4 linked regions of the Astyanax mexicanus genome follow. The protein of the gene in region 1 interacts with the protein of each later gene in a biochemical or structural test. Links are inferred from orthologs where the notes say so. Each region holds a gene or a part of one and is shown on either strand. Other genes may lie near its edges.

Region 1 (7,300 bases):
ATGAAGAACATATGACACTCCTCCCCCAATCAAAGGCCTGACAGGTGCTGTAAGAGCAGCTGGTGCCAAATGTGTAGAGGAGTGTGAGCAGCTGGCATTTTCTGTACTAGCCCTGCTTTTCAAAAATTTGCATTCTTGTAGCTAAATGAGAAAAAATATTATTTGCATTATCAAAAAATATAAAATTTTAAATTAATAATAAAAAAAAATCTTGAATGCAACAATTAATCTTTAGTCACTTTTCAAGCAGTAATAACCTTAAACACTTATTACATTGAATTTGCATAGCAATTAAAATGTAGGAAAAAGTAGGAAGGTATTTGTAACATAACATACAAATAATATGTAATTACGCCTTTATGCACTCTTAGCATAAAAGGTCTACTACTACTACTACTATTATTAATAACTACATTATGCTTCTTTCAGATGCCAGAGAAAGCTGCCCAGCCTGTGATGGAGGAGGATGTGGAGACTTTTGCCTTTCAGGCTGAAATTGCTCAGTTGATGTCCCTGATCATCAACACCTTTTATTCCAACAAAGAAATCTTCCTCAGAGAGCTCATCTCAAACTCCTCAGATGTAAGTTCTTCCTCCTTATTTGGACAACGACGCTCCAAGATTTAAGCTACTGTTCTGATAGAAATTACACTTTTTGCTCTTTTTAATGTTTAATGTATTTTTCTATGTTTCACCCTTCGTTCCACTTCACAGGCCCTGGACAAGATCAGATATGAGAGCTTGACAGACCCAAGTAAACTTGAGTCCTGCAAAGACCTGAAGATTGAGCTCATTCCTGACCTGAAGAACCGCACACTGACCATCATTGACACTGGAATTGGCATGACCAAGGCCGATCTCATCAACAACCTGGGCACCATTGCCAAGTCTGGAACCAAGGCCTTCATGGAGGCTCTGCAGGCTGGAGCTGACATCTCCATGATTGGCCAATTCGGTGTGGGTTTCTACTCAGCCTACCTGGTAGCAGAGAGAGTCACAGTCATCACCAAACACAATGATGATGAGCAGTATGTCTGGGAGTCTGCAGCTGGGGGATCCTTTACAGTTAAGCCAGACAATGGTAGGATATCAAAACAAACATTTGACAAACACACACACATAAAAGGCTTAAAAATTGTACAGTATTACATTTGTGTTTTGGATTTGCAGGTGAGTCTATCGGTCGTGGCACAAAGGTGATTCTTCATCTAAAGGAAGATCAGTCTGAATATACAGAGGAGAAGCGCATCAAGGAAGTTGTGAAGAAGCACTCACAGTTTATCGGCTATCCCATCACTCTCTTTGTAAGTGCTACTAATATATTTGACAGGATTTTTTCTGTAATTCAGTAAATGTTTTGCACAACATTAATGTGGTGTCATTCTTTATAAACATTTTTTAACCATCATTGCATAGGTGGAGAAACAGAGAGAAAAAGAGGTTGATCTGGAAGAGGGAGAGAAGGAGGAGGAGGTACCAGCTGCTGAAGACAAAGACAAGCCCAAGATTGAGGATGTGGGATCCGATGAGGATGAGGACAGCAAGGGTAACAAAAACAAGAGGAAGAAGAAGGTCAAGGAAAAGTACATTGATGCCCAAGAGCTGAACAAGACCAAGCCTATCTGGACCCGTAACCCTGATGACATCACCAATGAAGAATACGGCGAGTTCTACAAAAGCCTTACAAATGATTGGGAGGATCACCTTGCAGTCAAGGTGAGTTGGTTTAAGTATTAAAAATAAATCTAAAATATGTTTTCCTCTATTGTTAGATTTTTTTTTTCTCAAATACTCACACATATTTTACTCCATCATACAGCACTTCTCAGTGGAGGGCCAGCTGGAGTTCCGTGCTTTGCTGTTTGTGCCAAGAAGGGCAGCTTTTGATCTTTTTGAGAACAAGAAGAAGAGAAACAACATTAAACTCTATGTGCGCAGAGTCTTCATTATGGACAACTGTGAGGAGCTAATGCCTGAATATCTCAGTAAGTGTCACAATTTTCCTGAAACCGATATCCAACATGAAAATATATATATGAATTTTACTTCTGATTGACACCACGAAAAGCATTGTACTGTAAATGTGACATTTAATGCCTGCTAATTAAATTACCATCCTCTTATGTTATTAGATTTTATGAAGGGTGTGGTAGACTCTGAGGATCTGCCCCTAAACATCTCCAGAGAGATGCTGCAACAGAGCAAGATCCTCAAAGTCATCCGAAAGAACCTGGTCAAGAAGTGCCTTGAGCTCTTCACTGAAATCTCAGAGGACAAGGACAACTACAAGAAGTTATATGAGCAGTTTTCCAAGAACATCAAGGTATATTTGCATTAATCATAATCATAAGAATTGGTAAAATAACATGAATAAAAAATAGAAACATAAACATCTCACATTTCCTTTTCTTTTCCAGCTTGGTATCCATGAAGATTCTCAGAACCGCAAGAAGCTCTCAGAGCTGTTGCGCTACTACACCTCCAACTCTGGTGATGAGATGGTGTCTCTCAAGGACTACGTGTCCCGCATGAAAGACAGCCAGAAGCACATCTACTATATTACTGGTTAGTTATTTGGCATTCATTATTAAATAGCACAAAAACCCATTATTGGTCTTAAATATCACTTAACTAAAACATATGTTCCCCCTTTCCTCCAGGTGAGACAAAGGATCAGGTGGCCAACTCTGCCTTTGTGGAACGTCTACGCAAAGCCGGCCTAGAGGTGATCTACATGATCGAGCCCATTGATGAGTACTGTGTTCAGCAGCTTAAAGAATATGATGGCAAAAACCTGTTGTCAGTTACCAAAGAAGGTCTGGAGCTTCCTGAAGATGAAGAAGAAAAGAAAAAGCAAGATGAACTGAAAACCAAGTTTGAAAACCTTTGCAAGATTATGAAAGACATTCTGGATAAGAAAATTGAAAAGGTAAACACAAAAAATACTTAAATCTCTAACAAACATAATGCACACAGTGCCCTCAACCTGAGATTAAAACTGTTGTATAATAACCAATCTTTCATCTCCATTAAGGTTACTGTGTCCAACCGCCTGGTCGCCTCTCCTTGCTGCATCGTTACCAGCACATATGGCTGGACAGCCAACATGGAAAGGATAATGAAGTCGCAGGCTCTGAGGGACAACTCCACCATGGGCTACATGACTGCCAAGAAACATCTAGAGATTAACCCCCTGCACCCCATCGTTGAGACCCTGAGAGAGAAAGCTGAGGCTGACAAAAATGACAAAGCGGTGAAAGACCTTGTTATTCTGCTCTTCGAGACTGCCCTACTTTCTTCTGGATTCACCCTGGAGGACCCACAGACACATGCTAACCGCATCTACAGAATGATTAAACTTGGTCTTGGTGAGTTGCAAGCCAAAAACATGTGTATGCTTACTTTAGATATGGGGTGTCAGACCTTACCTAAAGAAGGCTGTTGTGGCTGCAGGTTTTCTTTCTAAAAACCTGCAGTCATAACAGCCCTATGCAGCTAATGCTTCTATAAAAATCCATCTCAAGACCAGCTGGTCATCCAGTAAAACATACCCTTTGCTGACAGGATAGGATAGCTCGTTAACCAGCTCTTGATCAGTATAGGATGACCAGCTGGTCTTGAGCTGGATTTTTTAAAGCAGGGATATCAGATGTCACACCCATGCTTCAGAGGCAGTGGCACACAAATGACATGGAAAAAGCTACATTTCTAATACTTTCATCCTTATTTTTCTTTAATAGGCATTGATGATGATGATTCGGCGGTTGAGGACATTCTTCAGCCCACTGAGGAGGACATGCCTGTCCTGGAGGGAGACGATGACACATCAAGAATGGAAGAAGTTGACTAAGATTTTGAAGTAGAAATAGCACAGAACAAATCTAAATGTAAATCTGTTTAATTTAAACACTGTTTAATTTTGAAACACATTGCCTAGCTAGATAGTCTATTTATTCTTTAACCTTTCGATTAGTTTTGTTTTGGAAGATATGTTGTGCCTTGTCGGAGTTTGTGATTAGAAAATATATCATTTTTAATTTTGTTTTTTTTATGGTGTAACTTTTTTAAGGAAGCAAAGCAACTTTCTAATAAAATATTGTGCAGAAATTAAATGAGTTGTGGTGATTTTTTTTGTTGTTGTTCATTTAATATTTTTTAGAACAATTTTTAAAGAACATTTAGCTACATAGGACCAGTCCCTCTTTCTCAGTGCCTTGATAGACAGAGCTTAGTCCCGCCCCGCTCCTGCAACAGAGCGCGCGCAGGGAAGATTCTCGAGTGTTCTGGATCAGCGGGCTTCTGGAACAGTCCGAGCCCAGCGCTTTATAAGCCCGGCTCTCACAGCTCTGACAGTGTTACAGCGCTCAGAGCCGCGGAGAGGACCACACGTACCCAACACACACACAGCAGCATTCCAGCACGACCCTGTGTCAGGATCTGTCGAGGTAAGACGGGTCGAGGCATGGATTATCAGTCAGATAAATAAAACAAGGAGGAGCTAAATTTATAACTGTAGCCTACATATATTTAAATCCGGAGACACAGTTAACATAACTAACTAACTAGGTATGTTTGGTTTGAATAATCTGGGTTAGCTAACCTAACGTTGTGCATGATGGCAGCTGTAGCTCTGTGTACTAATACTGTTAATAATAATGAATTAACTCTAGTGTTAAACTTCTTCAGTTAGTTCAGAATGGAAATGTTCCTGCAGGTTAGCGTTAGCTCGCCGGTGTTCTGTCGAGTTGTGCTACCCATCGATACGTGCTTCCTAAAGGCACTGCGCATGCGCTGACGTACATTTTTGTGATTATTAACGTTACTCGTATTTTTTGTTAATAATAAATCTGTATTTTGAGTGTTTTTGTGCAATAAACAACCTAGATAATAATAATAGTAATAAAAATAATAATAATAATAATAAATACAAAATTATGATTTAATTAAATTATTTAAAAAAAAATACAAAAGCAGTTTGTAATGCGCTCTCATTGCCATAACTTTACCATGATAGAGTGATTTACGCTGTCCAACTATATTAACTCTGCATCTACTGGGACTTCTACAGGAACCATGCTGTAATATAGAGCTTCTTTTGTATTTTTACAGTTAAATATATCCTAAGATAGCACAGTTTGACAAGGTAGCACAATTCGACAGAACACCCCCCGGTTGGACAGATGGCAGGCTAACTTAAGCTAAGTGAATATCGCCTCCTAGGCATCACCGGCATTAGGCTGATCATACAGATAGAGAGAGAGAGATGAAGGCTAATTGACCATGGCCATTGCAAAGTTTGGCTTCAGCTATTTTACCCTAAGCTAGTGTAGATTAGTATGATTTTCACATCGATACAACCTGCATCCTACAAGAACACTGTGCCCTACAACATCTAACCTACTTAACCTCGTTAAATCGTCACAATAAAAGCCATTTAAATTGAATAGACTTCATCATAAAGTGTATGTAATCTAGCTAACATAGGTTATATAACTCTAGCTAACTTGTTACAGTAAGAAAACAGACATTAATGCACCTTTGCTGGAAATACTCAATGTTATCTTAGGTTAAATAATAAAACTGTGCTGTTGACTATACTGCAAGATTACACAGCTAGGAGTCTGTCTATCTTATCTAGTCTGATTAATGCACTCTGTCAGGACCTGATGTGGCCGCCATGCTCACAGTTATAGGATAGCAGTGTTTGAGAGCCACAGCTCTCCATGGATTGTTATGCATGTGCTGCTGCGCCGCGAGGCTGGTAAGTTCTAGAAGCGTGCTGTACATCGCTCTGACCAGCAGGTGGCGCCTTTCTGCCATCGGATCACTAAGCCATGTGGCCATAGACCTGTCCTGAGAAATGATCGATAAGGAGACAGGGTGTAGTGATTAATAATAGTGTGAATAGCTAGTTTACACACGGCGCTGGCCTTGCTGCATTCATCAGTGTAGTGAGAGTAGTATGAATAATATAGCTAGTGAGTATGGGCGGGTGGGGTTTATACACGCAGCATTGCACGTGAGCTTTTAATCCTTTTTTTAGTGATTATGTCATTTCTATATAACTAATACAATGGCTTGATAAGACTGTAAACAGCATTAAAAGCACACAATTGAAAATGTGGTTCTACAAGAGTTCTTTAGTCAAAGCAGTATTAGTAATTTATAAGTGATGTCAATCAGTTAAAAAAAATGTACTAATTAAAAAATAATAGCTATTAATCATGATTTAACACACTTTTCTTCCTTAAGACTAAGCTGTTCGTAATGGGTATTTAAATGTGTTAAAATAATAAGTATTACAAACACTTAGATTAGTATTATTGGTGCCAATCCCTTAAAAAATAATTATACTAATCACTACAATATTCTGTGACTAAATCATGATAAGTTTCCAGATTAACTGCATGTGTTAACACGGTAATGCAAAAAAAAAGTCATGCAAAAACCTTAGGCTCCCATTATCAAACATGTCTGCATTATAGATTAAGATTAACTGATGTCAAAATGTATATAATTAAAAATCATTGCATTATTTTGCTGTTCTTCAGTACAGGCACTGAAATTGACACCGAAATGGGAAATATAGGTATTTTTACCAGGATTCCTCCAGAAATCAGGAATCCAAACATGACAAGATATTATAGTGTATTTTTTTTAAATATTAAGCAAGTAGTTGCATTATGTGACATCGGGCATCTTGTGGTGTGACGATTGTGCACATAATGCAAATAAAATATTTAAACATGCGTACATTATGTGTAGAAGAATTAGTAGGAATTCTAGGAAATCATATTAATGGTGACACCTGCACAAATACAAGGAAAACCTTTCCTGTGTCTTCACTACAAAAGTCAATGTTTAAAGTTTTCAAAGCACCTGCTATCTAAACAGTCCAATCCAGTGATGAACAAACCTACTGTTGCAAAAAACGATGAAAAGAACACCCTTCCAACTGTTCAGCACAAGCTGTATTGATTATATGCCTATCATGATGATTACATCATCAAATACTTGTATAATGTATGGCCATAACCTTAAGTCATTTTTGCAGACCTCAGTATGTGTTTACTTGGAAAGAAAAGCCTATTTACATGAATGAGCTGTTCAGTCAACTTTATTTCAAACAGTGGTTTATATTATTTATCTTTTATTTAGGATATTAAAACATAAAGCCATTAAAATGCCCATATCTGAAGGTTCTTAGTAGTTAAAGTACGGTGCTTTCTAAAACAATATATAAATGCTTTATTACATTGTTAAACTCTTATGTGTACTTTATTGGTATTAAATGGTTTTC
Region 2 (7,851 bases), on another chromosome or scaffold:
TTCCCATCCGCAGGAAGTGCTTCACCTGGGACAGGAAGGTCAGGAGGTTGTGCTCAGAGCCCCAGAGCTGGTCTGGAATGACGTAGCGTAGGACCTCCCTGACGAACAGGTACACCCTGTAGGCGGAGCAGTGGGAGACCAGCAGCGACAACATGTCCTCCTTGCCCTTGCCACCTGAGCACTTCTTACGCAGAAAGTGAGCATAGGGGCATTTTCTGTGTTTCTTTATTAACTGGCTGAAGATGGGCACCATGCTGAAGAAGCGTCTTGGAAGCTTCTGGGGCTTTGGTTCTGCTCCAGACAAGTAGGTGTTTCCCTGGAGGAAAATAATCCTTACAAGCTCCGCCCCTTGCAGGTGTTTAGGCCCGCCCACTCCACCCCGGACCTTCCTGTTAAGCAGAAAACCCTTCATGCCACGGCCACAATAGAGCATGCTCAGTACCCGGATGAAGCAGTGGGAGGGGCACGAAGGCGGTTGGTCACTTGGCTTCCAGCTGGACACACCCTGCATGGAGGCGTGGCCTGTCGAGGCTGGCTCCACCTTTTCTGGTTTCTGAGATTCTGTCTTAGCTGTCTCTATGGGATCTAAAAGACAGACGTTACTCTGTTCTTCATTGTCTACACATTTCCTTTTGGCCTGACTACGTTCGTCCTTCGCTTGTTCTCCTTCTTCTACTTCATTATCATCATTTTCTTCTTCTTTCTTTCTCTTTTTGGTGTTTTCAGTGTTGGAGTTTTCTATGTCAGTGTTCACTCTTGTACTACATGCTTTAGGCTGGTTCTCTTCAGTGGGTAAGTCTGTTTTTCTAGCATGATGCCTAATTTTCCTTGTTTTGCGAGTCCTAACCTTGGTTCCACTGGTAGAACCATCTGTTTCAATCCGTTCTTTTTCATTCTTTCTCTTGCTTCTGCTCACAGTAGTTCTGTTCTTCAGATCTCTTCCCTGGTCACTCCTTTTCCAGGTGACAGGTGGACCAGATGTGAGAAAAAACCCACACCAGCTACGTACAGGTACCATGTCATACAGAGGCACGCCACAGAGCTGCACCAGGCAGGAAGGGGGTGCTGTAACGAAGACAGCACACTCCTGCAGCAGGAACTTGGTGACTTCGGTACCCAGTCGCTGGTTTATCTTGGCCCAAAGCTCACTGCCGCTGATAAAGGCCGCACTCTGGGAAAGGGAGCCGTGGAACTTGAAGGGGTCCCAGTTCCCCTGGCGGTCGCTGTAGTGATAACCGAAGTTCAGGACATTCCTCCTCTTCTTCCTCTTCATGTGGTTCAGCACAAATGCCAACACCTCGGGCAGCGTGGCCAACTGGGAGAACAGGAAGTGAGATGGAATTTAACAACTTTTTACAAACATTTTATATCGTCTTTATAGAGCATGTACAGTACCAGTCAAAAGTTTGGACACGTCTTCTCATTTAATATTTTTTATATTTTTTCCTACATAGTAAATGAATATTGAAGTGATCTACGAAGCATGATGAAGTATTTAGATACTCTTATCTGAGGAGCTGTTTGTTAACTTGTGGTTTCTGAGGCTGGAAACTCTGATTAACTTATCCTGTACAACAGAGGAAACTCTCACTCTTCCTTTACTGAAGTGGTCCTGATGAGTACCAGTTCCATCAATAAAATGTTTTTGATGGTCTTTCCTTTAACTACATTTGAGGATACTCTCAAAATTCTTCTTTTTAGATTGACTGACCTTCATTTTATCGTACAGTATTTTTTTTTCTTTATTTAGTTGAGTAGTTGTTGCTTCTCATAATCTGGATTCGAACATTACTCAAATATTCACTATTCACTGTATACCTGTAACTCTACCTCTTCACTACTTTACTTTAACTGATGCTCTCAAACTTTACATTAAGAGACAAGAAATTCAAGTAATTAACTCTTGATGAGTTCAGCACAGCTGTTAACTGAAAGCATGAATTCCAGGAGACTCTACCTCATAAAACTGACTGAGAAAATCCAGCAGAGATGTTCAAAACTGATCATCTAAACAAGAGGAGATACTTTAAAGAATCTAAAATATAAAACATATTCTGGGTTGTTTAACACTTTTCTTTATTAAACAATTCAGTATATTTTATGTAGTATTAGAGTTTACACACTAAGCGATGTCCGTAAGATGAGGTTAAATAATGGTTGTTTCTCCATCATCAGCATTAAAGAAGCACTAAAGCTAAAAACTTATTGCATGTTTTCTGTTACCAGGGAAACCAGCAGCAGGAGGAGCTTAACTTCAACCACATGGCCCACACGTTGCCAGGCAACATATAAACTTCCGCATACGTCACTGAAGACTCAGAGAGAGGGTAAACCCAGCCACGTGTGAGCCTGGGCGATTCAGGTATCAGTAAACACAGTGAATTTACCTGTGCGCGGCTGGCGGCGCGCGGGAGGCGCGAGTCCGTGCACACCACGAGTCCCCGCATGAGACCGGCGAGGCGCGCGGGGTCCGTGTCCCGCAGCAGCGCCGCCCCGCGGCCATCCGGGTACTGCACGCTGTCCGCGAACTGCTGCAGCGTCCTCACCGACCCGTACACTCCCTGCAGCAGCGTGCACGCGCCCTGCACCCCGCTCATCTCAGCCCGCGTGCAGATCACTCCCAGATCACTCCTCACTTCATATACCGCCGCGCGCTCACCTCACCAACCACAGCTCCGCATCAACCCAGCGCTCAGTACCCGGATCACAATCAACACACAACGTGATTGGACAAGAGCTCGAGATCCCTTAAAGGCACAGAGGCACTGTGGCCACTTTATCGGAAACAACTACCTACTTTGCGCCTCTGGCCACTTTATCGGAAACAACTACCTATACGGTCTTTCTAGCCAGTTTATCAGATATGCTTACCTTGTCCTTCTGGCCCCTTTATCAGAAACACATACTTATCCTGTATTTTGGCCAAATTATCGGAAACACCTGCCTACCGACCTTGTCTTTCTGGCCACTTTATTACATATAACATCCATATATAACACTAAACCTACTGTTTTGACTTACTGGACACTTTATAGGTTGGTTGGTAGGTTGGTTGGTTGGTTGGTTGAGTTTAACGCCACATCAGCTCATCAGCTATTTCGTGGCAGGATAGGTATTGTTTATTCACAAGGTTCTATGATCTCGTCCTTAGATGTGGACTCTCAGTTTGGTAATAGTTAAAAAGTTCAGTACTTTGTTTGCATTGTCTTTGTTGAAAATGTCCATTAGTGTATCTGACAGGCAGATTTTTTGTTTTGTAGGTAAGTATTTTGGGCATTCGGTTAATATATGTTTTACAGTAATAGTTCGTTGGCACACATCACAATGTGGGGGTCTTTCGCCCTTCAGTAAAAAGTAGTGCGTCAGTCTGGTGTGGCCAATGCGGCATCTTGAGTAAATAACTTGATCCCATCTATTGTCTATATACGCGTTGGTAAAATGATCTATTTTGGGGTTGAGCTCGTACAGTTTGCTGTTTGTTTGGGTGTTCCATTCGTCTTGCCACTTCTCTTTGATGTATTTGTGAATTAGGGGCATTATATCTGTTGGTGGGAGTTTGCAGTTCGCTGTTTCGGCCTTTGATGTTCTTCTTGCTACCTGGTCTGCTTTTTCATTTCCAGTGAAGCCACTATGTCCTGGTATCCAGCAGAATTTTATATTAATATTTTCATTTGAAAGGTTGTGTAATCTATTCAGAATGGACACTTTATAGGAAACACCTACCTACCTCATGATTCATTGGTCACTCATTATTAACACAAATCAAAAACTAAGGACTTGTTTATTAAAAAAAACAACTTTATTATGATACAGCTGTACATTAGCCCCGCCCACAAAATGCCAGATACAAATGATACAAATAAAATAAACTTTACATTACTATGAAATAACAATCTGTTAAATTACAGAAACCTAATACTCTCAGTGTGCTCCTCATTAATCAAAGAGTAATCGATCAGCCAAGTTCTGATCAAAGCTAACGTAGCTAACAAGTCCTGGAATCTTCTAAAGAGTAAGTTAGCACTGGAGCGGTGAGGCTAACATAGCCAAAAAGTAATGGAAGCTTATACCCCACTAATTAGCATGTTTAAATATTCGTACACTGCGTTATATTTTAGGCTGTAGGTTATCTAAAACATGGAATAAATTATGTTAGCAGTGTTTATTAATTCCACAGTCTAATGATTAAGTTGTTTGTTAGCCACATTAGCCTCGTTAGCTGTACTGTAAAGCTAAAGTCTGGGCTGATGAATATGTATGTAGTAAACAGGGTAATCAGTTTAAGTGTGTTTTATTGTAAAATTGTGAGTCTGGCGTTTAGACCGTTAGCAGCTCCGCGGGCGGCGGTCTGAGGGGAATCTGACCCAGTGTGAATCGCTTAGCGCTGAACTCCCTCAGCTCATCCGGGGTGAGTTCACTCTGAGGGGTGAACAGGTTTTCTCCAGAAGCTGCACCAGCCGCTGGACCCCCACCGAACCCGCCGGCACCGGCCGAGCTAAACAGACTGCCGCCCCCTGCTGGAGCGGCGGATCCGAAGCCGCCCCCTGCTGGAGCGGAGGAGCCGAAGCCGCCCCCTGCTGGAGCTGTAGAGGAGGTGAAGCTGAACCCGGAGGCGGATCCGAAACCTCCAGAAGAACTCTTGCTCGCCACCGGAGAAGCGAAGGAGAAGGAAGAAGCTGTAGGAGTGGAGGAAGGAGCAGGCGAACCAAACCCACCAAACCCGGTGGAACTGGGCTGGGAACCTGTCGATCCAAACCCGGTGGAACTGGACTCGGAATTGGGCATTGTAAACCCGGGGCTGGCTGGAGCAAAGCTAAATCCACTTGCACCGTTTTGAGGGGCGCTGGATCCAAAACCTGAAAAAAATATATATTAAAGCTTAGCACTAGTGAGGTACATTTATGATTAGAATAGCATTATTGAAGTAAATGTATTATGGTAGCATATGGTAGTATGGTATGGTAGTATGGTATTATGGTAGCATTTATGATTAGAATAGCATTATTGAAGTAAATGTATTATGGTAGCATTTGTAAATGTAAAATTACAGTACCATTAGGTACCTGTACGTTTGTAGTAAAATTACTGAAGTAATTGTATGATCATAGTAGCATTTCTGAGGTAAATGTATAATTATAGTGGCATTTCTGAGGTAAATGTAGGATTATAGTAGCATTACTGAGATAAATTTATGATTATAGTAGCATTAATGAGGTAAATGTCTGGTTATAGTAGCATTACTGAGATAAATTCATGATTATAGTAGCATTAATGAGGTAAATGTCTGGTTATAGTAGCATTACTGAGGTAAATATGTGGTTATAGTAGCATTACTGAGGTAAGCGTATAATTATAGTAGCATTTCTGAGGTAAATGTACAATTATAGTGGCATTTCTCAGGTAAATGTATGATTATTGTAGCATTACTGAGGTAAATGTATGATTGTAGTGGCATTACTGAGGTAAATATATAATTATAGTAGCATTACTGAGGTAAATATAGGGTTATAGTAGCTTTACAGAGGTAAATGTATGCGTTCAGTTGTATTACTGAGGTAAATATATGATTATAGTAGCATTACTGAGGTAAATGTATGATTGTAGTGGCATTACTGAGGTAAATATATAATTATAGTAGCATTACTGAGGTAAATATAGGGTTATAGTAGCTTTACAGAGGTAAATGTATGCGTTCAGTTGTATTACTGAGGTAAATATATGATTATAGTAGAATTACTGAGGTAAATGTATGATAATAATGGAATTGCTAAGGTAAATCTATGAATATAATAGTTCTACTGAGGTAAATGTATAATCAGAATAGAACGGCTGAGGTTAATGTATAATGACAGTAGCATTACTGAAGTAAACATATGATTATAATACCATTACTGAGGTAAATCTATAATTATAATAGCATTTCTGAGGTAAATGTATGATTATAATAGCATTTCTGGGGTAAATATATGATTATAGTAGCAATTCTGAGGTCAGTGTATAATATAGTTGCATTACTAAGGCAATTTAATGATTATAGTAGCAATACTGAAGTAAATGTAAGATTATAGTAGCATTACTAAGGGAAATTCATCTGTGGACTCACCACCTGATCCGAATCCAGGTGCTGATGATGACAATGATGATGAAGATGAACCGAACCCTGACGATGGAGAGGAGAAGCCTCCACCCGAAGATCCCGGATTGTTCAGCTCTGATATCTGCAGAACAAACACAGATCAGACACCACCACTAATAATGGGTGTAGAAACCAGGAGATGTTTGATGGGTGGATGTATAGAGTGTAACTTGTAGAAAAGATTGTATTTGGTTCTGCAGGGTTCCTCACCATGGTGGTGCGGGTGGAGGAGCTCATGGTCCTTAGCTCCTGCACTCTGGACCTCCACTGATTGGCCAGCTGCTGTACGGAGTTCGCCTGGAACACACAGCACACGTCAGATCATCACATCTACACTACTGAACTACAGCTCCACCCGAACCACAGCTCCACCCGAACCACAGCTCCACCCAAACCACAGCTCCACCCAAACGACAGCTTCACCCGAACCACAGCTCCACTCAAACTACAGCTCCACCCAAACCACAGCTCCACTCAAACTACAGCTCCACCCGAAATAGTGCTTTCTGAACTACAGCTCCACCCGAACCACAGCTCCACCCGAACCACAGCTCCACCCGAACCACAGCTCCACCCGAACCACAGCTCCACTCAAACTACAGCTTCACCCAAACCACAGCTCCACCCGAACCACAGCTCCACCCAAACCACAGCTCCACTCAAACTACAGCTCCACCCGAAATAGTGCTTTCTGAACTACTGCTCCACCCAAACCACAGCTCCACCCAAACCACAGCTCCACCCAAACCACAGCTCCACCCAAACCACAGCTCCACCCAAACGACAGCTTCACCCAAACCACAGCTCCACTCAAACTACAGCTCCACCCGAAATAGTGCTTTCTGAACTACTGCTCCACCCAAACCACAGCTCCACCCAAACCACAGCTCCATCCAAACTACAGTTCCACCTGAACTTTAGCTTCGCCTCAACTACAACTCCTTCTGAATTTACAGCTCCACCCGAACCACTGCTCCACACAAACTAGTGCTGTCTCTGAACTACAGCTCTTCTGAACCACTGCTCCACCCAAACTACAGCTTCACCCAAAACCACAGCTCCACTCGAACCACAGCTTCACCTGAACCTCAGCTCAGACCAAACTACAGCTCCACCCAAACTACAGCTTCACCCAAACTACAGCTCCACCCAAACTACAGCTTCACCCAAAACCACAGCTCCACCTGAACCCCAGCTCAGACCGAACTACCCAGTCTGTACTTACGTAAGACTGTAGATCTCCAGAAGCTCTGCTGGTGTAGTACTCCATCCTCAACTCCTCGGGAGAGAGCTCCACAAACCCTACACACACACACACACACACACACACACACAAACATATACACACAAATATATATATATATATATATTGTTATATCAAAGTATCAGGATATTTTGTATTTTTTTTATTAGCTGTATTTTGGTTTTAAATTAGTGTCACAATATACTGATATGCTGAAGATCAGCATGCAGCTGTAATGTATATACAGTACCAAGTTCACAGTTTTAAAATGTTCTGTACTATAGATTAAAACTAAAATCATCCAAACTATGACGAAAAACATATGAAATTATTTAATAAACAAAAATGTGATTAATAAACCAGTATATATTTTATATTTTACATTCTTCAAAGTATCTCCTCTTGTTTAGATGATCGGTTTTACACATCTCTGCTGGATTTTTCATATATAATTAATATTATGACAATTTCT
Region 3 (7,890 bases), on another chromosome or scaffold:
TTAATCCAGTATTTTTTGTGAATATCAAAACAAACACACATTATATACATACCATCACTCTTAAGTCTTTCTGCCTCTGCTATCTGATCCTCTGTTAGGGGATTACTGGTAGAGTTGACTTTAACTTCAGGTGTGTTTTTTACCTGTCATAGATACACACAGTCTTTATTTACAATTCTCAAATCATAAATAATACCAATACTCTGTATCTGAACAGCAATATTAAAGAGAATATAGACTGCTACCTTTGGAGTGGCTTTTGCAAATAATTCTGGCAAAGTTTCAGTAACTTCTAAACTCTGGTCCTCCACTGAGACACTGAATGCTGTCTCCAGACACTGGATGGCAACTGGAAAGCAGTTTTAGTGATCAATCATATCAGTGTTTTAATTCAAAACCATAAACAAATATAAGCTTAGTAACCATTCATTCAGAACTGCATCAGTATTTACCTTCTAAACTTTCTTGAGCATCTGACGACAATTCCCCAGACCTGAGCTGGTCATGGAGAAACTGGATAATGGAGAAAGCGAGACGTTTTGTGTCTGTCATTTTGGCTGGAGAAAAAGCTCTCTCCAATTACTTCTGAGGAAATCTGAAATATAAGAACATGTGGGCATATGTTTAGCAGAATAACATCATCTCAAAAAGTAAAGTTCAGTAAAATTGAAAGCTTTGACTGTGAACTGCCTAAAGTGACCATACTCAAATTTATAATTACTAAACATGATCTAAGGCACATTCGGAGATCCTCCAGTGGGTTTTGTTCTATTGACAATGCTCTTCTCTGGAAGTGATAAAATCTGTTAACACCCAAGCCAGCAACTGGTGCATCATATCAGCACAAAAATAATATTTATTCCAAAAGAATAAATACAGTGCAAGTTTGGAGTGTGCATAATATATTGTTTAAATTCTTTCATGTTCAGGTCATGTTTCTATTTTGCTGCCTGACATAAAACACCTGCCCAACATAAATGATTTTATTGTCCAATATTTTATAAAGTGTGTTGCATTATTAGTAGGGTATTGGGTAATCTGTATTATTTTTCAATACATTTAGCTTACCTTCATTTTTGTTTATTTTTTTCCACCACTGTAAATTTGTGTGTTGTTTTTGGTGGTATTTTTGTCTTTATGTTTGTTATCTGCGTTAAGTCACAATTTTACACGTCGTGAAAAACGGCTCTAAATTAGCATCACGACAGGTGGGATCACCAATTTCCATACAGTGCAAGATACATCAGAGCTGGAATTTAGTAAGACCTGAAAATAAATTAAATCAAACTGGTCTTGTTTCTTTTTTTGATGAAAAAAAAAAACCCAGCCTAATATGATTTTTACTGCCCAATTTTTTGGACACATTTTCACTACATTTCGTTTTAATTTTTTAAGATGTCTTTATTTATTTTTTTTATTTTTTTTACCACCAGTGGAAATTCCTGTGTTTTAAATTATTAAAACAAGCAAACAATATAAGATTAATTAAGAAGAAATAATTTCAGAATAAAAGGATAAAATGTAAAGGCAATAAAAAATATAAGAATAATAAAAGACAAACACATTTAAAGAAATAGAGGAGTAAAATAACACCCAAATTATAAGGTAAATGACAGAACTAAAATAAATAATAAGTTTATAAAAAAAAGTATAAAAAATAAAAGGACAAAATAAACTAAATAAAATGGTAAAAGGTCACAAGTAAAACCAGTAATAAAACAAACAAAAGGATTAAATGAATCAAATAAATAAAAAGGCTAAAAAAATGATAAATAAAGACAAAATTAAATAAATTAAAAGGCAAAAAAAAAACTCAACTAAAAGCAGTTACAGGCTGACTGAAGGTGGCTAGAGACTACTAGTTTAAAATTATTTAGTGACTCAGTTTAGAATTTCAGGTAGTACATTCCAGCTCTCGGGTGCTGCACTGTAGCTAAAAGCAGATTTCCCAGTTCAGTAAAAACTCTAGGAACCGGACAGGTAATAATGCCTTTGGTGAGAGAAATTTGGCAAATTGTCATGGGTAAATAAGGTCTGCAGTAAGATTCACATCATAAGTTTAGGTTTTCAATAATTTAGGAACTGGTTGACCCCTTAACATAAATCATTACATAATTCTGGTGATTTATACTATATTTTTTCCAATCTCCTAATAATGACACATTTCAGTTAACATTACTTTAATTACAATGACTAATTACACTGAGGTCACTGTACTGCTAGGAGTACCATCCATGCAAGCACGAGATCATCAAGATGATTGCTTGTGTCTTAACTAACGTTAGCTAACCTCGCACATATACATAGTTACCTAACTATCTAACTAAGTAACAGTATCTGTCCAAGTAGGTTAACACACTTGCCTAACGCAGCCGAATCGTTCAGTTCTTTAATACAGCAGATTGTTCTGCTGCTGTCTCTAGTGAAATGACTTCATATGAACATATGACCCGGAATCTTCTAGCAACAGCTGGCTAGGTTAGCTAGTCTGATGATGTGTCCTCAACAGCTAACTAGCTATCAATTTAACCCCCTCAGCTGCTCACAGCGCTAAAATCATTACACTCTAACAGTGTAAACAGGAATACATGTGTTTATTATATCAGCAACTACCGGCTACACGCTGTCTAACCGTGCGTAACGCAGCTAGCTAAGCTAACTAAGCTAACCCGCAAGGGCTACCTCGATATCCAGCTCACTAACATTGTTTGCTAGCTAGCATTAGCATTAGCTCGTTTCGTTCAGAGTAAAGGCAGCTCAACTCTCAATAACAGCAAACAGCTTTTAAAATCTGCCCCGCTCATAAACCAGGTAAAGAGGTAAAGACGGCCTACATTGTGTCACTCAGCTACACTCCCGAGAATCACACCCAGACCTTTTCTCAAATCTTTTTATACTTACTGACTGTCCCACTGCAGGGATTTTCCTCGCTGCGCTCTCAGTCTGGCGTACGCTGCGTAATACGTAAACTCACCCCTCCGTGCGTAAAACCAGCGTAAAACGTACTGACGTAGCTATAATGTCGCTAAACATATGATAAAAATAAAATACTATCATCATTAAAACAATAGACGTGAACACGTATTCATGTCTATGATTAAAACATCCTCCCCAGTATGGGCTGCATTAAAATGGGAATTCATTTTATGAACAAATGTATTGGGAACATAACTAATTACTAAGGTAAAGAAATAATATATGCACTCATAAATATATATAATCTACACTAACCCCTTGTTTCATTATACCTATTTTATCTGTACCGTTTACTTTCTTTATAATCGTATTGTTATTTTTAATTACTTACATATTTTAGTCTTCTTTTTATTTTTGCTCATTCTTTTTATTTCTCTCTTTTTTTCCTCTTTACATTTTAGCCTGTCAACTTATCTTTTTGTTCTGAATAATTTAGATTATTCTTACTTAAATCATTATTGTTTGTTTTTATAATGCCTTTGCCATTTAATGTTTATTGTTTTTATAATTAAAATGTTAGAAGTTCACTAAAAAATTATGGTTGCCATCAATGTATTCTTGAGTGAAAATAAAGGTTAAAGGTTGTATAAATTATTTACAGCTAATTTTAATATAATCAGAACTATTCATGCCTCATTCAAATAAATAATTTCCCACTAATTGTAAGTAATCATAAATTAGTAATTTATTATTTATTTATTGTATAATATTGTCACAAAAACTTCATAATTAGTTAGATAATTTATTTATGCATTTAGAAGATAATATCTTTAATGTCCATGACACTGTAAAACAACCATAGCTAAATTGATCAAATAATTAATTAATTAATTAATTAATTAATTAATTATTAGTTATATGAGACATTTTTACTAAAATAGACAATTCTTAGTTAATTTAAGATATGTGTTTTGTGAAATAAGTGTTAGTTAGTGTGTTATATCAATATTCTTTACTAAACTCAGTTATTTTTTACAGATTATTTTATTCTGCAAGAAACTAATTCTAAACAAACGAGCATTAGCTAATTTATTAATTTATGAAGCAATATTTCAAAGAAAGTTTAAATGCTGTATTAAACATGATTCTGTTTTTGTGTTAATTCTTATAAATACATGCAAAATAGTCTGTAAATATTTCACATAATTCCAATTCAAACTCTCTTTTCCCACATTAAATGTATGTATTTCGTTTAAAAGTCATTCTTATCATTCTTAAATTTTTTTGTGTACTATCACTGAGCAGAAGAGGATTGGGCGGGGTTTTGTTGATTGACAACTCTCAGACCCAATCAATGAGTGCGAAATGGGCGGGAGGATACCACCTCACAGGGAAGAGCTATCACGGGCGGGCGGTGGAGCAGCGAGCATTGATTCAGAGAAACGCGTGGAAAAATGGCACCTACAGGTAATCTAGGTTATATTAGAAAAGTCAGGTAGATGTTTGACTATCACTTTTTAGTTACTTTCCTCTCTTTAGTTCAGTACTTTCTGCTAATAGTTAACTGAATGATGAACAGGGGTCTGAATGCAGCTCTACGATTCAGTAGGTTAGAGCAGCGCTGGGTATATGGGGTGTAAAGTACTGAGCTGGATTAACAGTGAACATAAACTGTAATGTTTAATTTAGAAACACCGCCATTACTCTGTTTTTACGAGCACGGTGGCGGCTACTCACTGCTGTAGTGTTCACACATACAGCCGTTTGCCGGTTATGAAAACAATAGCTAGCTAGCTGCGCAGGTTCTTGTGTTGTAATGCCGTTATGTTAGCTTGCCGGCTAGCTACAGTTAGCCTTCTGTGTATATGCACTTGTACTGAGCCGGACAGCTAGCTGTGTAGCTAACCGTAGTTAGCCTGCTGGTTTGATAGGTTAGCTAAGCGCCGTCACTTTAGCTTCCATTAATACCAGGAACACGTGTAGGTTAATATTATTTCCCCTATGGTTCAGTGACATGCAGGTTTGCGCTGGTGTTTATTGTGTTTTTTAAGCTGTATGTAAACTACCTTTTTTAGGGTTAGCTTTATATCGAACTGATTACAAATTCAGGGCGTCATTCTAAACGGAGCATTAACGTTACTAGACAAGCTGACAGACATATGTTAGCTAAGCTAGCTGAACAAACTCAGCTCTCAGCAATGCTTGAGAATTTTCCATATAACCATAAGATAAGATAAACAGCTAAGTTATACAGATAAAATATTCTGGCTTTGTTAGACATTTTAGTAACTTACTTTGCTTTTTAGCCCTTGCTGTTCTGCAAACAATCTGGACAATATATTAACATTTTCTCACATATCAACGATATCATTGGTACTCAAAGAACTCCGCATCAACTGTACAATGGTTTATCGTTTAGCCCAAAACTAAGAAATATACAGTGATATATTTTTTGCCATATCGTCCAGCCCTATTCTGTGACAAAACGACGAAAAAAAAATATATACATATATATTAATTGATAAATTAAACGATTCTGTCATTTTAACTACAGAGATCCAAAAAGATTACAACAAGTAAAGTTGGGCAAATATGTTGTACAAGTATGTTGTACTAATAGATATGTCTTGGAAGTAATAATACATGATAGGGCTGGGTGATGTACCAAAAATTGTATCAAAATATATTTATTCTTTTAGGTTGCTATACTAATAAATAAACTATAGTTATTGTGTAATGTATGAGGGATCTGCAGTTTAGTATGTTTTTTGTGGGTGTGGGGTTCTTTCTTTTCTTTTGGTTTGGTACAATACGATATGGGTATTATATCCCAAAACATACATTTGAAACCTAATGCCTTAAAAGCTCATCTCTTCTGATATTTGAAACACATGAGAGAAACTTTCTGCTTCAGGTGAAGTAGTGTTTGGCGGTGGAGATGGAGTTTGTGCTGACAATCGTTTGCGCTGGGACCTCACTCCAGAGCAGATCCATCAGCTTACGGATGAGCTTATTGCAAAGACCAAGCAAGTCTATGACTCTGTAGGATCCTTGGATCTAGATGCTGTAACCTATGAGAACACTCTGAAAGCCCTTGCTGATGTGGAGGTGGACTACACAGGTAATACTTCATGGTTTGTGATTGTGGTTGGAGCTTCTAATGCATTTAATACTTACTGTAATACTTACTGGTATTTAAAATACCAGAATAGACACATGAATGCAAATGTATTTCTACTTAATCTGGTTAGATCTATATACTGAGGATGAGTCCTCAACTTTTCTGACATCTTCACAAGATTTAAGCACAGATTGTTTCACACAACGAGCCCTAATTTATAACAAAGTGACCAGGTTTCAGTTATCACTATTGTGAAACAAAAAATAAAAAGGCTGAGTCAGCAGGGAAGCCGTATGCAATGGTACACACCGTTCAGCACTTTTTTACATAAAGACTGGCTGACTGACACATGCACAACAATAGTGTTTGCCATTGTTTAGTGTGCAGAGTGGAAGCACTGCAAGGCACCTATCTTGTGTAGGTTTTCTGTTGACAAAAAAAATAAATCAAATAAAATGTTATGGCAAAGTGTTATTACCTTTTTATTCAGTCCTTTTTCCCCTAATACAGAAGTATTGTCATGATGTGTTTTGAATTATGTGTTTTCATTAATGCTTCAGTTAGTGCCACATTAGTCTTTACAATATAATAATGCCCTATAAAAAGTAATATGAGGTATTAAACTGATTTCTTAGCATTAGTCTGAAGCCATTATTTATAACCTGTAACATCGCATCATCTCTGGCTCTTTTCCAGTCCAGCGGAACATGCTGGATTTCCCTCAGCATGTGTCGTCTTCTAAGGACGTGCGCACGGCCAGCACCGATGCAGATAAGAAGCTGTCGGAGTTTGATGTGGAGATGAGCATGAGGGAGGATGTGTACCAAAGGATTGTAGCGCTTCAGGTTAGGTTCCTAAATGTCTGGGGTGTTTTTTTTTTTTTATTAGGTTAAGGATGGAATCAATAAGGAAGACAGTAGGGCTGTGCGATATTAACAAAAAAATTCTTACAGTGCATTACTGGCTGATAAAGGCACGCACAGAACACCTCTCAGCCAATCAGATTGCAGGCTCAGAATTAACTGTAATATAAACCATATTTTGCATTAATCAAATATCAGTTATTAATAAAAAAGTCTTATTTTGTACTAGCCTGCACTTTTAACCATAATAATAATAATTGCTTTTTAAAATGTACATTTTAAAACAATATTTTTAAGGCATTTTTTTATTATTATTTATACATTTTTATTAAGCTTTTATGAAGCTTTTACCTACCAAAATTCCTCTAAGGCTGTGTTCATATTGCAAGCCTCTTTAAACAACTCTATAATGGTCTTCGTGGGATTTGATAGGTTTACGCATGTTGTTTTTCATCCTTCTACATCTGAAATGTTGATCATTTTTTAGGATAAACTGCAGGATGAGTCTATCACCCCAGAGGGTAAGAGATACATGGAAAGACTGATCAAGTTGGGAAAGAGAAATGGGCTTCACCTTCCTAAGGAGACACAAGAGGTCAGACGTTACAAAGACTCTGGGCACAAATCGTTCTTGGAATACTTTTCAGCTGAATTGATTCTTCTAAAATAAACTAACATGAGGAAAGAAATATCTTTTGCTGAATTGGTTTATTTCCTGTAATAGGAGATCAAGAAGATCAAAAAGAAACTGAGTACACTGTGTATTGATTTCAACAAGCATTTGAATGAAGACACCACTAGTCTGTCTTTCACTCGTGAGGAGCTGGGTGAGTACACAGCTTTGGAGTTCTAGTAAGATTGTGCACTGTATATGTAAAAAAACACTAACATTTAATAGAAGTCAACATATGTTGTAATAATGCACTTAATATATCAATTTTTCAATTAGAATAAACATTTTGTCAGACTGACAATAATCTATTCAATAGT
Region 4 (7,945 bases), about 4.1 Mb from region 1:
ACCTGACATCTAAAATGTGTTAAATTAGTTTCAATAACAGCATCTGTTTTTATTATATTGTGTAGTACATAAAATACAAATACCCACGTTTTTTGTAAAAGAAAATGCATGGCATGATTTCTAAAAAGCCATGACATTTTCATATCAAAAATCTAAGACAGATGTTTTTTGGCAATTTGGAAAAAAAAAACATTTTTTCAGACTAACCGCTGTGTCTATTTTTAAGAATAAGAAGCTGTCCTTCACGTGAGGTCAGCAATAATTTGTATTGCTTTGGACAGAGACAGTCCAGCTACATTTAGTGTGGCATGTGTTGCATAACACCAGGGCAGTAGTTAAGAAGAGCCTTGAAACAGAAATTAGGACCGACAGATTGGCCTGTGCCTGGACATTATGGGAGGGATTACCATGGGATTGATTCTGCACCACCGTTTGAAAACAAATACAAAACCACATATACTTGATCAATGATAATTCTAGTAATATGCTGGTATAGTACCAGTACAATCAACTGTGTACACAAAAACAATTATTTAAAAAGGTATGGGTTATTTAAACAAAGAATGGATCATACAAGGACACTGACCATTTAAATTATTAATTATACACCTGTGTGCTTTCAAAGATTTATGCATACTCATAGTTTTTGGAAGATACCCTTGAAATGGGGCAGCACTGACTTTCTTTTCACTTTCTCCTTTTCACTCCTTTCACTGACCATTCCAACTTAAAAACAAAATAAGATATATTCCAAATAATAAATTCATCAATTTTATAGTGATATTTCATTTAAACCACACCAACCACTCCATCTCAACCAGACAAATGTGAACCCCAAAGTGACAACCACATTGTAAATTTTAAATCCCCTTTAACCCCTCACAAAAAGGCATACCCAAACAGACATGAAATAGTGAAGTGTGCCTCACACATCCTTTCTTTTCTGACACAGTTCTTGCAAATGTCTTGCCACAGAAGTAAGCAGGAAATCCCATTGACGTCAACATCTGTGGTGAGTAAGAGATGATAAAAGAGGAGCAAAACAGCATCCTTTAACAGCTAAATTTGACCTAAATATTGATTTTGTGAAAGTCCTAATAAATGAAAACATAAGTTAATATATACAGTACCAGTCAAAAGCTTGGACACATCTTCTAAATCAATGTTTCTTTATTCCTTCAATCAATTTATTTTCTACATTGTAGCACACATTGTCCTGCACAAGCCCCTGACCTAAACCTAACTGAAATGGTGATTTGGGATGAGCTGGAGCTTCACAGAGTGAAGGAAAAGCAGCAACTATTGTTCAGCACCTCTAGGAACTGCTCCAATACCCTGAGAAAACTATTCCAGGTGACCCTACCTCGTAAAAATAGAGATTAAAATACCAAGAGTGTGCAGATCTGTCCTCAAATACAAATGTGGTCACTTACAATATATATAAAACATAATACATATTCTGGATTATTTCCAAAATATTTCACGTGTTTCTGCCTAGGTATTTTTTTTAACAGTCTTCAATATTAAATGTACACTATAAAAAAATCATAAAAAAAAGAAAAATCCACTAAATGAAAAGAGAGGTGCCAAAATTGTGTTTGGTAATGTATATTGTTACTATGTTCTGACAAAAGAGACAATTAGCTAGTGTGGAGTAGAGGTTGATTTTTTTTTTACATGTGTGCAGGTTATACCTAAAAATAAAAAATACCACATATACGTCAGATGAATCTGATCTGATAAAAAGGTTTAATACTATGAAAATACTGTTTTATAAAGGCAAACCTGTTTCCAGCTGAGGGTCTGAATGAAAATAGGTCACGTCTATAAGCTATAATAAACGTAACGAAGGGTTAAAAATCCCAAATCACATCAATTGAGAATCCCTTCTTTACAAAAACACAGAAACTCTGCAGTTTTAAGTCATCTGAAGCTATTTAACAGCAGCTTTTTTAACACACTCACTCCTCATCCTCCTCCTCCGCACCAGCAGTCAGTCCATGCCACGCTGACGCACTTTACTCCAACCGTTATTAAACATTTCTAATAAATATATATATTAGAGCTGACCCCTCTCTCTCTCTCATTCACCTTCAGTTTGTAGTTAACAAATTTTAAGCCACAAAAAATAAATCATCCGGTCGCTTATCTTTTACACACACACACACTCAGCTCCAGCCGGCGCAACACAAATCAAGGCAACTTCTTATTAGCTAAACTAAGCTAAGCTAGGTTAGCGTTAGCATTAGCTGAACCGCTGTCTGTGCTGCCAACGCAGATACAGACGCAGCCCGTGTTTTCGGCGTATATTCAAAATAAAACCGACACAAAATGTCCCCGCTGGAGAGATTTCAACAGCTACAGACGGTCCGAGTGCTGAGGTGCTGGCGTTTTTCGCTTGTTTGTAAACTTGTCAGCAAATTGCCTCAGACGCCCCCCAAGCACAAAATGGCGACTCCGCTAGGAGGACGGTTGTTTGCTAGCCTCCGCTAAGCTAACAGCTAACAGCAGCAGCAGAAAGGTGAAAAGGAGGAACAGCCTCTGTCTGCAGGTCAGAACAGCACAATAACACACATACAAAATCCGTCCGCCGTACCTTTTCTTTTCAGTGGCGACTCCAGTATCCATTCCTGGGTGAAACCTCCTAGTGTGTAAGGTTTTTTTTTTTCCCGAAGCGCCGGCGCAACAAAACAGCGGCTAGCGGCTAACGCTAGTTCCAGACCCGAGAAAGAGAGAGGATGAAGGACGTGGCCACCTGTCCTCCCCGAAAAACACCAACAAACCGAGCTAAACGCGGCCAAAAACACCCGCTAACACGTCTCCGCTATGTCTCTTGTACAGCCGAGTTCAAGAGGTCGCCCCTCCGTGGTCCTGAAGGTCAGAACATCTGTGTGTATTCCTGCGGTGGGGTTCTCCCCGGCACAAAGAGAGTTAAGTGCTACAGTCTAATGCTGCTCACTGAGGCTCCGCTACTACTACTCTCTATGTGGGCTCGTTCATGATTACGGGAGCGCGCAATCACATGTTCCTCTGGCACAGAGACAGAACCGGGCTCTGCACAAACGTCATCGAAAAACAAGCCCCCACACTGCAGCTCCAAACACACACACACGAGATACTGATACCTATATCACACCTACAGACCTTAATTCCACATTATATTACCCAGTTAATAACCAGGGTGACATATCTAATACCTGTATTTAACCCTTTCAGACCTTGCACTCATTACAATGGACATCATGTATTTTTTTTATTTTTAAATGTTTTGTTGCACATTACGCAGTTTGATAGCTGACCATGAACAACCCAAATGAACAAGTTTATCAACCAATTAAACAATAAATTGGCCTCGCCCATTGCACTGAATTTTTAAGCAATTTTTAAAAGTACAATTTTTATTCATGTTTTTTTACTGTTTAGGGACGGTTCACGAAAGAGAAATGTCAATATGAAATACTACTACTAAATAAAATATTACACACAGGCATCTAATGCAGCGGAAATAAAAATAAACTATTAAATATTTTAGTTAATTGGATTTGTTTGCTATATAGATGTTATAGTATAATATTAGAGTCTTTTCTGTGCATTTCAGACAGAAAACAGCATTCTTAAATGTTTTTTTTCCTTCACTGGAGATAATTCAGCTCATTGAATTCAGCTGGCTCATTATGACTGCTTATATGTCACCACTGGTTTATATGGAATCTCACTCTCTTTTATATAATTAGTTAGCTGGTTACAGTATAGTTACAGTCATTTAATACAATTCTAAACTGTATACATTTTAGATACATTATATCAATTATTATGTATTAATATTACGTATTAATAAGTTCAAGCTTTTGTTGGCACTGTCTCTACTGACTTCACTGTCCGGGGAGGTCTTTATAAGTCTATTTGTAAGTCTATGTTTCATAAAACTTAAGTATTTTACTTTAGTTATACAATATATTGAGTACTACTGGACATGTACATCATATTAAGCCAATTAGTTCATCTTTATCTGCTCAAGAGAATCCTATTTTAGTGGTTCTCTATAGGAACTACCATACTACTGTGTGTGCATTTGAACATCTGTGTCAGCAGTGGGTGCTGCCTAAATGTAGCCTAAAATGCAGCCTAAGTGCAGCCTAAATTTCAACATATAGTATATATACACTGCATTATGCAAATATAAGCTGGGTATATTAGTGGTTGGTGTTGTCGTGTGGGTGACAACATTAGCTTTATTGTGGTAGAGCCTGGTTTGACTCTGTGGTCAGGCCATTACACCACACTACATCAGTATCTTTCATTTAGTGAGTAGTGTAAAATTACTCATATTTATGTTTAGATCCACAACCAAATGCGGAAATCAGTTTATAGGAAAGACAGGTCACAAAAACGGTTGACATAATGATGCCAAACAATGACTGTCAATGACTGCAACACATTACATTTTAACTCAGGATTATATTGTTAATTGTATTACACATATATATCATTGTATGCCAATGTCTTAACTAATGTTAACCTAATGTTTCAGTGCTTTCACTGTATTCACCTTGTTTTTTCAATATTTCCAGAGCCAATTCCAGTGTTTGTGAACCCTTAACAGCATCCTGTTTGGGCAAATCCATCCACCCCTATAATATTATTTTGTATAGAATTTGAAATCATTTTTGTTTTCATTGTGAATAAAGTTTAATTACGGGCAATGAATGTCTCAATAAACAAAAATCAACAAAATACAGGAAATAAATAATATTGTAGGAGCATGTAACCCACAATTAAATAAATATATTGTTGTCAGTAATCCATCATGTCTTAATAAGATGTTTTTCGGCAAACATCATGGCAGACACAAAATCAATATTCACACTCAGTTAAAAGAAGCCTTGAATGTTACAAGGTCTATGTCCTAAAATAGGTCATGTCCAATACTTTTGGAATATGATTTAGAAAAATTAGCAAAATTATTCTACTGAAAGGTTGTCACTGTTACACTGTGATGATGTTATATACAGTACAGAAAGTGAGACTGTCTGGAAAGCTTTCCTTTTGGGTGATGTCACACTCTAACTAAAGCTGGAAAGACTGAATTATATAGTTGTGGTAAAGTAGATATTTTGCTTCCTGTTCCTCGCTCTGTGGAAAACAGATGGAGACAGACAGAGGAAGAAATAGATACGGACAGACAGACAGATGGAGAAAAAGAGAAGAGTACTACTATTATAGAGGTTTAGTTTTTTCCATAAATATGAAGTATTTTACTTGTTTTATACAATATAGTACTGATGTAAAATATAATTTTTTTAACCATTGTTAATTAGTTCCCATAACAGTACTACTGGACATATACACTATATTGAGGCTTAACAGCCAAGGTTCATTTAACTATTAAGAGGCATTTTAGCTTTTTAATGTTCACAAAATATGTTTTACAACATTGCTATTACAGTATTAACCACACAAACCAACTGTAAAGACAAATTATAAGGCAACAGAAGTGTACATATATATTTTTGCAAATTGCAGTGTTTACAGTTTTTGTACCCTGTTGGTTGGTCAGCCAGTAAGTCCACTTCTTATGGGTATAGCAAGGAAAACATTAGGCTGTAGAATATTAACTACCATAAAACAGCTGTGTAGACTGACTGTGAGCGCCAAACACAAGGTCCTGGCTACGAATAAGAGCCGGATTCCACAACTGTGTGTTAGAGGATTTCTGACAGTTTGAAAAAGAAACAATGGTTGTTGTACAGGATGGGGGTGCAGCTCCAGTGTTGGAGGGCCAGTCTCCAGCAAGGCTTAGTTGCCCAACCCAAACACACCTGATTCAAATCATCATTTCATTACCAGGCAAAGTAGGTGTGTTTGGGTAGGGCAACTGCCAGACTTAGCTGGATACCGGCCCTCCAGGACTGGAGTTTTTCTGAAATAAGGAAGCTTGTGTAGACTGTCTATTTGTTGTTAACGAGTGCTCCTTAAAGGTCACCTTCCGTCGTTTTTTCTTTCATTTTAAAATGTCTAGTTGTGGTCTCTAGCATGAATGAATGACATGTGAGCCGTTTTTGTAAAAAAAAAAAAAGTGCTCAGGTGTCTCTGTATAGCTCTTTTTTAATGGACTGTTTTAGGGGTGTGTCCAAAATGACCGGATTCCAGCTTTGCTCATGAATACTCATACATGCAAACAGCATGCAAATATCTCTCCTCTGATTGGCTAGGAGCACTGCGACGCCCCTCCACCGCTCTGCCGCTCACTGCCTCCCACCTCCTAACTGATGAGCGGTGATGTTGCGTCGCTTCAGCTCCGCCTCTGGGAGTTTCTCGAGCCAAGGTGGGCTGGTCTGTGAGTTTCTGCCTACGTAGGCAGAAAGATAATTCAAAATTCACCCGTTTTTCGGAGGGGGGGGAGGGGGGATTTCTTTGCTTAGCTCCTGCAGACAATGGGGGCTGCAAAACAGTTTAATGTGCAGGTGTACACATTCAACTCGGAGAGACCTACTGTATTCCACAAAAAACAAGAAAAATCGGATTTTCGCGGAAGGTGAGCTTTAACAACAAGTGAATCACATAAGCACCAATGTGTGATATGAGGAAGAGCCAGGAAACTGATGTGATGTACTTGAGTGATGTTGGACCAGCAACAGATATTGGCAGTCTAAAGTGGCATTCCTTTTTTCTTCTTTTTTAATTGAAAGCAGAAGCAGTAGTATTTTAGTAGAAGCAGAGTGAGGGAGGGGGACAAAATATTTTAATAAATTGAATTAGTGTGCTGGCACAGCCATCACTGCAACTTTATAATCTTTAATATATTCATTTTAAAAACAGAGTGATCTGGAAAGTTTAGGCAGGAGTTTTTCGCAACAGTGTCTGGCCTTGTCACTTGCTGTTGATGTACTCAGGTCAAATGCACAGCCTTTGAAAGATGATTCAGCATATATTGCTGGTTAGCTAAGCAACTGTAAAAAGGGGGATCATGCTAAAACAAGTTTTAAAAGTACTCTTTTGCACAATTACACATTCTCACCAGAAAGGTCTCTAAATCCCCGATTTCCAAAACGTATGCACCACTTAAGGTTTAAAGCATTTGCTCAAGGCTTTTCAGTAAAAGTTATTTTTTTAGAGTATTCTTATTGTATATTGTACTCAGTGTACACTTGTAAATGATGGGGACCTTGTGGATGAAATACATTTCATGTACAGTGTGTGTCTAATGATTGGTGCAAGGCCAGTTGGAAGTTGTTATTGTGACCCCCTGCACCTGGTCTTGGTTAGGGCTTCTTGCTTTAATTTACAGGGTTATGCAGAAGCCATATTAGTGGGAGAAAGCTGAAATGCCTTTAATTAAGGTGAAATACTGCATCAGAAACATTTGAGACAATACAATTGAGACAATATGTGAAAGGATATTTTTAATCCACACTTGTGCCATTTAGGTATACAGTTTCATACTGCAGATTGAATAAAGTTTAGTTGGTGAGGCAACTTATTAGCAGTAATTAGCAATGACTGCCATGACTAAAGAAAAATGAAGTAGGCAGAGATTTAACCCCTTTCACAGAGTACAGCAGTCCAGGAATAGTCTTGCATGTCTAAAAAAAACATTAGCTTATCTCCTACCATTCAGGGAAGATTAGTGAAGCATGTGCCAGGTAGGCACTGGGACAGTGAGTGAGTTATATAACTGGACATTTTAAGTCAGTGTCCATATCAGGCAAAAAAGATAACATTCATAACTGCAACCCATAAAGTCAAAATGCAGTATGCAGTTATGGTTATAACAGATACTAAAGTATGCAAAAGCAGAACCAATGTAATATTGTTATATGACATAGTAAAAAAGCTACAATCAAAACTAAAAAAATAAAGCACCTTTTTTCAGCTGTCAGGTCAAAGAGAGAAAAACAAAATACAAGCCACTGGGAGGCTTGTAAAAAAAAAAAAAAAGAAACTG

What was found.
Region 2: the proteins of hsp90aa1.2 (region 1) and tert form a complex in vitro, tested with the Homo sapiens proteins (2 studies listed by BioGRID). The link is inferred for Astyanax mexicanus from reciprocal best matches to the Homo sapiens genes HSP90AA1 and TERT.
Region 3: the proteins of hsp90aa1.2 (region 1) and sgta form a complex in vitro, tested with the Homo sapiens proteins (2 studies listed by BioGRID, with this or other methods). The link is inferred for Astyanax mexicanus from reciprocal best matches to the Homo sapiens genes HSP90AA1 and SGTA.
Region 4: the proteins of hsp90aa1.2 (region 1) and hif1ab form a complex in vitro, tested with the Homo sapiens proteins (4 studies listed by BioGRID and IntAct, with this or other methods). The link is inferred for Astyanax mexicanus from reciprocal best matches to the Homo sapiens genes HSP90AA1 and HIF1A.

Annotation. Positions count from the first base shown.
Region 1 is NC_064408.1:74,162,822-74,170,121, forward strand, and holds the start of hsp90aa1.2 (heat shock protein 90, alpha (cytosolic), class A member 1, tandem duplicate 2), read left to right. Parts: upstream 1-4,282; 5' UTR 4,283-4,445; intron 4,446-7,300. Other genes in the region: hsp90aa1.1 (heat shock protein 90, alpha (cytosolic), class A member 1, tandem duplicate 1), read left to right, coding at 430-582, 715-1,081, 1,171-1,304, 1,417-1,716, 1,820-1,985, 2,133-2,323, 2,418-2,565, 2,661-2,929 and 2 more. UniProt on the Homo sapiens protein: Molecular chaperone that promotes the maturation, structural maintenance and proper regulation of specific target proteins involved for instance in cell cycle control and signal transduction.
Region 2 is NW_026040049.1:365,248-373,098, forward strand, and holds the start of tert (telomerase reverse transcriptase), read right to left. Parts: upstream 3,006-7,851; 5' UTR 2,598-3,005; coding exon 2,388-2,597; intron 1,316-2,387; coding exon 1-1,315. Other genes in the region: nucleoporin NUP42, read right to left, coding at 4,318-4,856, 6,104-6,218, 6,347-6,433, 7,362-7,438. UniProt on the Homo sapiens protein: Telomerase is a ribonucleoprotein enzyme essential for the replication of chromosome termini in most eukaryotes. Active in progenitor and cancer cells. Inactive, or very low activity, in normal somatic cells.
Region 3 is NC_064423.1:18,691,566-18,699,455, forward strand, and holds the start of sgta (small glutamine-rich tetratricopeptide repeat-containing protein alpha), read right to left. Parts: upstream 3,002-7,890; 5' UTR 2,902-3,001; intron 2,854-2,901; exon of another isoform or gene 2,835-2,853; intron 596-2,834; 5' UTR 553-595; coding exon 453-552; intron 350-452; coding exon 246-349; intron 144-245; coding exon 53-143; intron 1-52. Other genes in the region: thop1 (thimet oligopeptidase), read left to right, coding at 4,371-4,383, 5,831-6,037, 6,734-6,882, 7,388-7,495, 7,625-7,727. UniProt on the Homo sapiens protein: Co-chaperone that binds misfolded and hydrophobic patches-containing client proteins in the cytosol. Mediates their targeting to the endoplasmic reticulum but also regulates their sorting to the proteasome when targeting fails.
Region 4 is NC_064408.1:70,074,941-70,082,885, reverse strand, and holds the start of hif1ab (hypoxia inducible factor 1 subunit alpha b), read right to left. Parts: upstream 3,002-7,945; 5' UTR 2,629-3,001; coding exon 2,597-2,628; intron 1-2,596.